Saccharomyces cerevisiae S288C: one gene and its partners. The gene in region 3 interacts genetically with the main gene of each other region. Each region holds a gene or a part of one and is shown on either strand. Other genes may lie near its edges.

What was found.
Region 1: mutations in MPH3 (region 3) and CDA2 together harm fitness more than expected from each alone (negative genetic interaction), as found in Saccharomyces cerevisiae (one large-scale study listed by BioGRID).
Region 2: mutations in MPH3 (region 3) and GLO2 together harm fitness less than expected from each alone (positive genetic interaction), as found in Saccharomyces cerevisiae (one large-scale study listed by BioGRID).

The regions. Positions count from the first base shown.
Region 1 is NC_001144.5:746,262-749,406, forward strand, and holds CDA2 (chitin deacetylase CDA2), read left to right. Parts: upstream 1-1,675; coding exon 1,676-2,614; downstream 2,615-3,145. Other genes in the region: chitin deacetylase CDA1, read left to right, coding at 1-264; DPA10 (Dpa10p), read right to left, coding at 587-850; IMH1 (Imh1p), read right to left, coding at 2,773-3,145. UniProt on the Saccharomyces cerevisiae protein: Hydrolyzes the N-acetamido groups of N-acetyl-D-glucosamine residues in chitin to form chitosan and acetate. Chitosan is a component of the spore wall.
Region 2 is NC_001136.10:1,007,210-1,010,334, reverse strand, and holds GLO2 (hydroxyacylglutathione hydrolase GLO2), read right to left. Parts: upstream 1,326-3,125; coding exon 501-1,325; downstream 1-500. Other genes in the region: DON1 (Don1p), read right to left, coding at 1-159; Cu(2+)-transporting P-type ATPase CCC2, read right to left, coding at 1,646-3,125. UniProt on the Saccharomyces cerevisiae protein: Thiolesterase that catalyzes the hydrolysis of S-D-lactoylglutathione to form glutathione and D-lactic acid.
Region 3 is NC_001142.9:737,693-741,454, forward strand, and holds MPH3 (alpha-glucoside permease), read right to left. Parts: upstream 2,125-3,762; coding exon 316-2,124; downstream 1-315. UniProt on the Saccharomyces cerevisiae protein: High-affinity uptake of maltose and maltotriose. Also transports alpha-methylglucoside, glucose and turanose but not melezitose or trehalose.

The DNA of each region.
Region 1 (3,145 bases), on a different chromosome or scaffold from region 3:
AAACAGTTTGGCCTAACGGTTGTCTTGTGGGATCTCGATACTTTTGATTGGAAATTAATCACTAATGATGATTTCAGAACAGAGGAAGAAATACTTATGGACATAAATACTTGGAAGGGAAAACGGAAAGGTTTGATCTTAGAGCACGATGGTGCACGAAGAACAGTTGAGGTTGCTATTAAAATCAACGAACTTATTGGTAGTGACCAATTGACAATTGCAGAATGTATTGGTGATACAGACTACATCGAACGCTACGACTAGAAGTAAGATTTCCGAGAAATAAAGTTTCTCTCTATATATCTTTGATCTCTTATTTAATTATTCAACTCGCAAAAATAAAAAGAATATTTTGTTATTTCAAAAGTAAAAAAGTATGTATTAGAATAGAGGACATATATAAAAATCATATATATCGATGCTTGAATGTATAAGGAAAAGCGTCAAATTATGAACGGTAGGTACTTAGGATGCTGATGTCACATAAAGTCAGAGGGTATAACTTTAAAAAGTAATTTTTTAGAATCTTTTAGCGTCAAAACGTTACACGTACATTTGAACAGTGTTAAGAGTAGATTAATTCAAATTATACTTTTACGTGCTCCGATACAGTCTCTACCTCTTCGTTGTCAGTGCAAATAACAATTGGCTTATCATGAACTGTTCTTGGAGATGGAGAATATCCTTTCAGACTCGTAATATTGATGACGGTAGTTATTCTGCGACATTGAGTAGTACTAGCATCCCTTATAACCGGAATAGTTGTTGATGTAGGTGAACTTTTTGGGACATAACACTTGGCAGTTGTTTGCAAATTTTTTGTGATCATTGATATGTTTCTTAGTGACATTTTTGATGCTATTGTTTTTATAGTGTAATTGCTATGAGTTTATTTTGTTGACAAGTATACTTGGCTGTCTTTTTTATATAATAACGAAAATGTGTAGTGGAAAAGCAGGTGTGTTTTGTCTTATATCTTACAAACTATATAGGCTTATATAGTTTTTTTTCAAAGATTCTTATTACTGCACAAAAAAAAATAAGATCCCAAATTGAACATTAACATTAGTCATATTCAGGGATGGCTCATCACGAACAGCAAACTGAATAATTTTCTTGTCTGCGTTCCTTTTTTTGTGCACCAATGGATGTAGTATGCGCACCTGATGCGCATAATAGATTGCAATTACACTGACTACAACTTACGTATATGCGTTTTTATTACTTTTCTATTGCAACGGCCTAAAGGAATTCGATAAAAGAAAGAGTAGGCAAGATAAGCCTGAATTTGGCTTTCGGCTGTTATTTTTACTTCCGCTAAATTTTCTTTGTTCTTCCATTGTTTTTTTGCCTTTGTGTTCTCCATTAATCCATCCAATTTTAATGTCGGATTAATGGAACTTTCTATTAACCCATAAATGCCACATAGTACGGCTGTAGCAGTGAAGGTTACAAAAGGACGGGTAACACATGAGAAACATGCGTCAGGGAACAAACTAGATATTTGATTTTGTGACGCAACGCAAAAATTACTGGCTATTCTTTTGTAGTATTATCAAAATCCATTTAAAATATTCTCTCTCCTTCAGTAATCCTCTATTATTTATCAAAAACCCACAGTGGGTAAACAAACTGCAAAAGAGTTGTTATTATTTCTACGGATCGGCAATTGAAAATGAGAATACAACTAAATACAATTGATTTGCAATGTATTATTGCACTTTCCTGTCTGGGGCAATTTGTTCACGCGGAAGCTAATAGGGAAGATTTAAAGCAGATAGACTTTCAATTTCCTGTATTGGAAAGGGCAGCTACAAAAACGCCTTTTCCGGATTGGCTTAGTGCATTTACCGGGTTAAAAGAATGGCCTGGGTTAGATCCACCTTATATACCTTTAGATTTCATTGATTTCAGTCAAATTCCAGATTATAAGGAATATGATCAAAACCATTGCGACAGTGTTCCAAGGGACTCGTGCTCTTTCGATTGCCATCACTGCACCGAACACGATGATGTGTACACATGTTCCAAACTTTCCCAGACATTTGACGATGGTCCTTCTGCTTCCACTACTAAATTATTGGACCGGTTGAAGCATAATTCCACCTTCTTCAATTTAGGTGTCAATATAGTTCAACATCCAGATATCTATCAAAGAATGCAAAAGGAGGGACACTTAATCGGCTCACATACCTGGTCTCACGTATATTTGCCAAATGTATCGAATGAAAAAATTATAGCTCAAATTGAATGGTCCATCTGGGCGATGAATGCTACTGGCAACCATACCCCCAAATGGTTCAGACCTCCATATGGCGGAATAGATAATAGAGTAAGAGCAATAACAAGGCAATTTGGCTTACAAGCCGTCTTATGGGATCACGATACTTTTGATTGGAGCCTCCTTCTCAATGATTCTGTCATAACTGAACAAGAAATTCTTCAAAATGTAATAAACTGGAACAAGTCAGGAACCGGATTAATATTAGAACACGATTCAACGGAAAAAACTGTCGATCTTGCCATTAAAATAAATAAGTTGATAGGTGATGATCAATCAACAGTTTCTCATTGTGTCGGCGGAATTGATTACATAAAAGAATTCTTGTCCTAATTTTCAGGGAATTGAAGAAAATAAGGAAGAATTAAATTACAATTTAAAAAGAAATTGCTTTAGTATTTTATATATAGACATGCAGCAACTTCTTGATATATTTCAGGAAGAAAAAAACTGTTTCAATATATACGTATCTTCTGCTTTCAGCTACATTTTTACTTCAGAGACATAACCAGTCTTTTTTCATCAGTACTGTCCAGTTGTAACAACATAGAAATTACAGGAAGTAATTGGTTCCGTTGTTCCTTGTGCTCCAAAAATCCCAACAAAACATTTTTTATATATGCAATTTTTTCATTTTTCTCAGAGTCTAACTCCAATGAACTTGATGATCGTATCTTCTCTAATTTAGTTGGATTAGAGTTATTCGCTGGTGAGGAATCAATATTCGCGTTAGCTAGAGTACCGATAGAACCAGACCTACTAACTCTTCCTGACTTGTCACTGTATTGTCTTTCCTTTAAAGCATTCAATTGAGAGGACAATGAACGATAATTTTTTAGTAATCGATCAAATTTCTTGTTAAGT
Region 2 (3,125 bases), on a different chromosome or scaffold from region 3:
TGGAAAGTCAGTTTTCGGGCTACTTTCTTTTTCTTCAACGTTTGTATAGTCTTGCGATGGAAGCTCCAATCCCGAATTAGTGTTTTTAATATTCTCTACTTTTAGAAAAGAGGTTTTAGCAGCATTATTTTCTTTTCCCTTTCTATTTTTCTTTCCCATGTTTGATGCTTCTCTTACTTGTGTTTAAATACCAGCCAAAGTCAAGTAGATAGTAAACCGCAAAAGGAAAGCCATTTTAATTCTGGAGCTCAAATATCCATTGCTTTATTTCTACCCGAAAATGGTTTTGTGACGGCAATGATTACTCTACTCGAGCCGCCCGTATTATTGGAACTTTTCTTTCAGCCACGCGAAGACTAATTTTTATGACGGCACAACTACAAGAGTTCTAGTGAACAGACCTGAATGTTATAAAGTAGCGTTCCAAAAACTCTTATACATTGAAATAAAAGGGTATGCTAAAAGAATATTTTTAAGTATATTATACTCTGTTGGCTTTCCTACATACGGTTTTTCATAGCTCTCAATTTATCCATAATTTGAGCTCTGTCCCATGAATTATTCGTATCTCCGGCAGCTTTTTGGACCTTTGGATCTTCTAATCTCATGAATGGATTAAATTCTACCTCATCTTTCAAAGTGAACCGCCCTGCTGTGACTTCATGCTTGGAGCAGAATTGTTCTAACTCATCCAATGCTTTATTTTCACCAACTTGCGGGTAAATCTTACGAACAAACTTTACATTATCACTTGTGTATTCGTGTCCTGGATAAACCCTCGTTTTACTCCAGTTCTGCCTGCCCACAGTTTCTAAGATAGAATTGTTCAGAGCTATATCCATTTCTTCGCCTGTACCCTCAAAAAACCTACCGCAACCAGCGGTAAATAGTGTATCGCCAGTAAAAATGCAGCGCTCATCTGTTGTTGGATCTTTCACATAATAACAGATAGAGTCTCTGGTATGGCAGGGCGTCCTAATACAAGTAATCTCTAAGTCACCTAGGTGTAACTTTTTCAAATTCTCCGGAATTATCGTAACCTTTGGGCAGTCCTTTGACCCTCCTATAACCTCAACTTTTGAAGTTGGATTTTTCTCTTTTAAATACTTCAAGATATCAGCGTTACCATCTGCATGGTCATAATGGTGATGTGTATTAACAATTGCTTCAACACTTATTTTCTCATCCTCAGTCAACTCTGGCAGAACCTCAGGAGGCTCTGCTGGATCGATTAGCCACGATTTTTTATTTTTACTGTCGGACAATAGATAGCAGTAATTAACACCACCAGACTCCCATCTCATTTTAATCGATTTAACCTGCATTTTTTGTCCTCCTTTTCTTGTGTTTTTGTGTTGTCCTGCAGTCTTCCCTTTGATATTGGTAAATCTAGCAACTTATCTAAGAATACTAAAATTTTTCTAAGAGGGATATAATGGGTTTTTAAATCGGTAAAAAAATCCTTATTACCTCCATAATATCCCTTGAAACCGACGGGTAATACGACTAGTAGACTTACTGAAAATACATAGAGTAGGAGTAAAATATATGAATTTACTAAAAAATTGATGAATATTAATTATTATTATTGTTATAAATCTATATGCTCGTGGATTTTTTTAAATAAATTAGACTTACCTGTTATTTACAAGACTTCTTCGTTTGACATTAGTCCGGCCTGTGATTCTATGTCTTGCTCACCTGCAATAGCCCGCGTAGAAAAAAGCCTTGACCAAAAATTCCCAATCGAAAATTTGGACTTGAAATCTGAAATCCCATGTGATTCAATATCCGGTGGAGTCCACTTCTTCAACATCAATGAACTTAGAACGACACTGACCGAGCTGAATGCCATCGCTAAACCGGCGAGCATTGGAGGAAGAGTTATGCCCCAAGGAATGAGCACACCCATAGCAATCGGAATCATGAATATATTATAGCAAAGTGCCCAGAACAAATTCAGCTTTATTCTTTTGAACGTTTTTAGTGAAATATCGATGGCGTTGGCCAGTCCTCTCAAACTATTAGTATTCAGATCATTACCGCACAGTATAACAATATCAGCTGCTTCAATAGCAATCTCCGTACCTGTTGAAATGGCAATACCTAGATCACTCAGTGCTAAAGCGGGAGCGTCGTTAATGCCATCGCCAACAACAGCAACCTTGTTATTACCTTCTTTATCTTGAATTTTTTTCACGAGATCACATTTGCCTGTGGGTGACACATCGCTGTAAACATTTTCGAAGCTTATACCTACTTCTCTAGCGACTCTTTTTGCTGCTGAGTTATTATCGCCAGTAATCATATACGTTTCATATCCATTTCTTTGTAGATACTGAACTGTTGCGTAAGAATCATGTTTAACTTCATCATTAATCTCGAACAAGCCAAACACATGCCCGTTTACTGATACGTATGATACAGTGTTTCCTTGGTCGACATTACTGTTAATAAATCCGGATTTTTTTAATGCATCCTCCAAAATCAGCGCCTCGTTCCCAATACAAATATCATAAGTATTTCCATTAACTTGACACTTTGAGACTATTCCCTTTCCAAGCACGTATTCGCTTTCTAAAACAACGGCATTTAAAGCCTTATTACAGTTCAAACCATCACAATAACGTATAATTGCTTTCGAAACTGGATGGTCACTAATGGATTCCGTTGCTTTTATACAGGCGAGAACTTCGTCTTCATCCACGTTTCCAACCCAATTTGAATCTTTAAGGAACTTTTTCACAACCATAAAACCTGTAGTTAAGGTACCTGTTTTATCAAAAACAAAAGTAGTAATACTATTGAATTTTTCCAATACTTCTCCGCCCTTTATTAAGACACCATTCTGAGCTCCAACCCCTGTACCCACCATTATAGCAGTCGGCGTGGCAAGTCCCAATGCACATGGGCATGCGACGATGACAACAGAAGTAGCAGTTTGTAAGCAAATAAAAAAATTATCAGCCTTAGTATTTGCGGTGAAAGCGACGGGAGGATTAGCCGAGATGTTTAAAATAAAACACCAAATAAAGAAAGTCAATACTGCCAAAATTAGGATCCCCGGAACAAAAATAGAGGCTAAATAATCTGCATACCCCTGAATGGGAGCTTTACTCAATTGT
Region 3 (3,762 bases):
GAGTGCCCAGACTGTTACTATGACAATTAAACTAATGTCGATGACCATTTGTTTCGACAACTCCATCTTCATTTTCTTCACGCGCCATACTCGGATGAGAAAGAATCTTTTCTCTAACTATACATTTCCAAACGCAATGATCAAGAAGAAAGCTAAATGTTACTTTGAGTTCAATTACTGAGACATGTCATGGGAATATGAGGAAGAAACAAATCTACGTGTATTATACTCCGTAACATGTAGAGTAAATACCATAGTTACCTATTTACCTGTGTCGATAAATGTTCATTAGCTCATAAGTGATGGGATACATTGCTATTCCTCTGCAATGGAAGCTTCGATATCTCCCTTGGGGTCGTTATGAGAGACGTCTTTAGGGGGGGTTTTGACAACAAACGGATCTACTTTCGTCGATTTGAACTTTCTTGCAGAAACTCCAAGTTTAAATAACTCATTTATTTCCACGAAAGTCTTTCCGGCAGTTTCTGGTAGGTCAACCACAGCCCAGATTAAAGTACAAAAGCATAAGACACCCCAGAAAAAGCCTGACTTAGCGCCCCAGTTCCACTTCTTAGAGTTCAGTTGGTATAAGATGAGAACGCTACATATGATACTGACCACATTATAAGTGTTACGTGCTAGAATGATTGTTTTCGTTCTTAGTCTTGAAGATGGCATTTCAGAGACTAGGCAAAAAACGACCGGGGCAATTCCTAAATTGTAAAAAAATGCTACAGCCATTAAAAGAGAACCACTTCCCATTTTGGAACCGTGCGTACTTGAGCACCCCAAACCGCCAATAATGAAAAAAACAATGGTTTGGAAGGCTAGTCCAAAAGCGTAAAGGTCATATCTACCAAAATACTTTGACGCCCACCAAGATAGAAATGTAGCACAAATACCGAGACAGTATTGAATAATACTAAAAGTGAAGGACATTTCAGTACTAACGCCAGCCTTTTCGTAAAAGTAAGTTGAATAACCTATTAGTATTGAACCACAAGTGGCTTGACCAGCCCAGCAGAGACAAGTAATTCTCGTTCTTCTTCGATTAATCTTGTCTTCAAAACAATCACTATAGGAGCCTTCTTTACTTGTGAGTCTCTTTTCCTTATCTATAGTCACTTTTATTTTGTCCACCTCCAGAGTTACTAGTATTTCTTTTTCAGGTCCCTTGCCGCTTAAAGTTCTTCTAAGTGATCTCCTTGCCTCATCAAACCTTCCTTTTTTAACTAGCCACCATGGAGATTCAGGTGCAAAAAAAATTCCCAGTGCTAAAGGAACTGGCAAAATCCACTGTAGGGCAAATGGTAGTTTATATCCTAATTCTGAATCCGCATATTTTTTTTGAGAATTTTTCATGATTCCAGCTGCAAAAAGTTGTCCAAATAACCAGCACAAGTTTGAATAGGTTGTAAGGTAATATCTCAGAGCCAATGGGCATATTTCAGAAGCGTAAGACACCGTCAAACACTGAAAACAACCCCATGGCATCCCGCACAATGCTTGTCCCACAGCAATCATGCCTAAACTATTGCAAAAGTACAGTATAAAAGTGAAGGCAGCTAAAAAAAACAATGCAATAATCAATGTGTAACGATTTCCAACAAGATCCACGGAGGGCCCCGTTAGCTGTAGCCCCACAATTTCACCTGCCATATAACATAAGGTCAGCCCGATTTGCCATGACGCTGAAATTTCCCATTCTCCAGTTTTGTCATTTTGTGAGCCAAACTTTCTCTGAAAAATAGGCAAGGCGTAGAAAGCTCCAAGAATAGCTGTGTCGTACCCTTCCATGATTAAAGTTGTAGAGACCAATAGTGACCAAGCTGCTGCCTTGGGATATGTATTCAATGCTGTCGCAAGTGGCATTCCTCTTTCACTTTCGTCTGCCTCCTTGGCATCCTCAGTAGCGTCAAATATCTCTGTTATTACTTTATTGCTATCGCTTGGCGCTCTTGTATCCGGACTGAACTCAACATGAACAATATCTAAGCCGTCCTTCTTAGTTTGATCATCCATTTCTATCCAGCTGGGTTCATGCGACTTAGCCTTTCCTGGGTATACATTCGAGTCACTTGTATTTTCCTTTCTTCTGTTTATGAGAAAAGATAAGTTTTTCATAGCTAGGTAATGGCTTTACAAGACCTGTATCTCTATTTGTGTTAGATTTTGTGATGGTAATCTTTGCATAATAATTCCAAGAACAGGCCTCTAAGAATTACAAACAACGATTACAGATGACCCCACCTTTTTTTTATATTCTATAGTCAACACTATCATGAACTTGTGGCATACTCATTGCATATGGCTGACAGGATGTCAAATGCTCCCTTCTACGAAAGATTCTGTGCACGTAAAACGCGGGGTGTGGAATGTCGCGATGACTCTCGAGCAGAGAAAAAGACAAACATATAACGAGCTGATTCCTCTCCAGAAGAACAAAGCCAACATTGATTCAAACTGAGGACTTAATATGATTGACTCTCTGGAAACTGCAACAGTGTGATTATAGATCAGAAATTCATGCTGTAATTTTAGTATATCGACCTGTCGCGATGTTGCAAGCGTGACAGATCTATACATATTTCGCTAAAACTGTCGGTAAAATACCAACACGCTGCACTGCAGACCACAGATTCGAACCGAAGCATATTTTCAGAAATTTACGAGAGGTCTTTATAGTCACCAAAATATCCAAATTGAGTAATTAGAAAGAAAAAAACACACATACTGTAGTCCACAACCTGTTTACGGACAGGTTCTGGCTGATGGGATAACCACTCTACCTGACTGCTCTCCTACTTCATATTTACCTCCCGAACAACGTGAAATCTTTTTGCTTGGAGAAAAACAAGTAAAAAGTATAAATGGAGATGAAAGATCCACCAATAAATTCCAGCTTGATTTTTCAACATATGATGACAAATGTGAGTGCTAAATCTAAGTCGTAAGACAAATAAGAACTTTTACCATAATCAGTATCCTGGGAAAAGTGGTAGAACTACAGTTTATCAAGCTTACCCACAAAGCATTAAATATGCTCCCACAATAACCTCTGGAGTGATATAACAGGTATGACTTTCAAGTTATAGTATATTAAAGATCTTGGAATTGGGCGGTTTAGGCTTGTTCATTTCAAAGCTCGAGTAAGATTTTAGTATACTTTTCCCTATAGAAATATTTCCGACATAGATTTTTTAATATAAGCACTTCTTCCATGACATTTTGTTTCAGTTATCTCTCTTTCGTCGCTACTTGAGAAAACTATATGGTTGTACGAAAAAGAAATGGCCAAAATATTCTTTGGGCCTTATTAATCTCATTACTATTGTAAGAGTTGGCCCTTAATTTTATAGAAACACTGTTTTAAGGCCAAAAAAAAAAGATGCCAAACATAGAAAGGAAATGTCGCTTTACTTGGCTAATTGGCTCTAAATCACAGGTCTTAATACTCGAAACGCCATTGATGTACTGTGCACAATTTCCATTCCGGGTTAATTATAAAGATATCAGCGTTTATTTTCATCCATGGCAATGAAAATTGTAAAATAATCATCATCAAAATTTGATATGGTTGCAATAGAGGGAATGATTTGATTTTTATGAGACTTATACGCATCACCCTGTATTTTTGCAATTACGGCGATTTATAAAACTTATAACGGAATTTAAGAGTTTCATCCTACCAAGCGTAATCATAGATATAAAAATTCTATTGTGCAACTCATATTTGTCATTGAAACAGGGACTTTTCTCCGA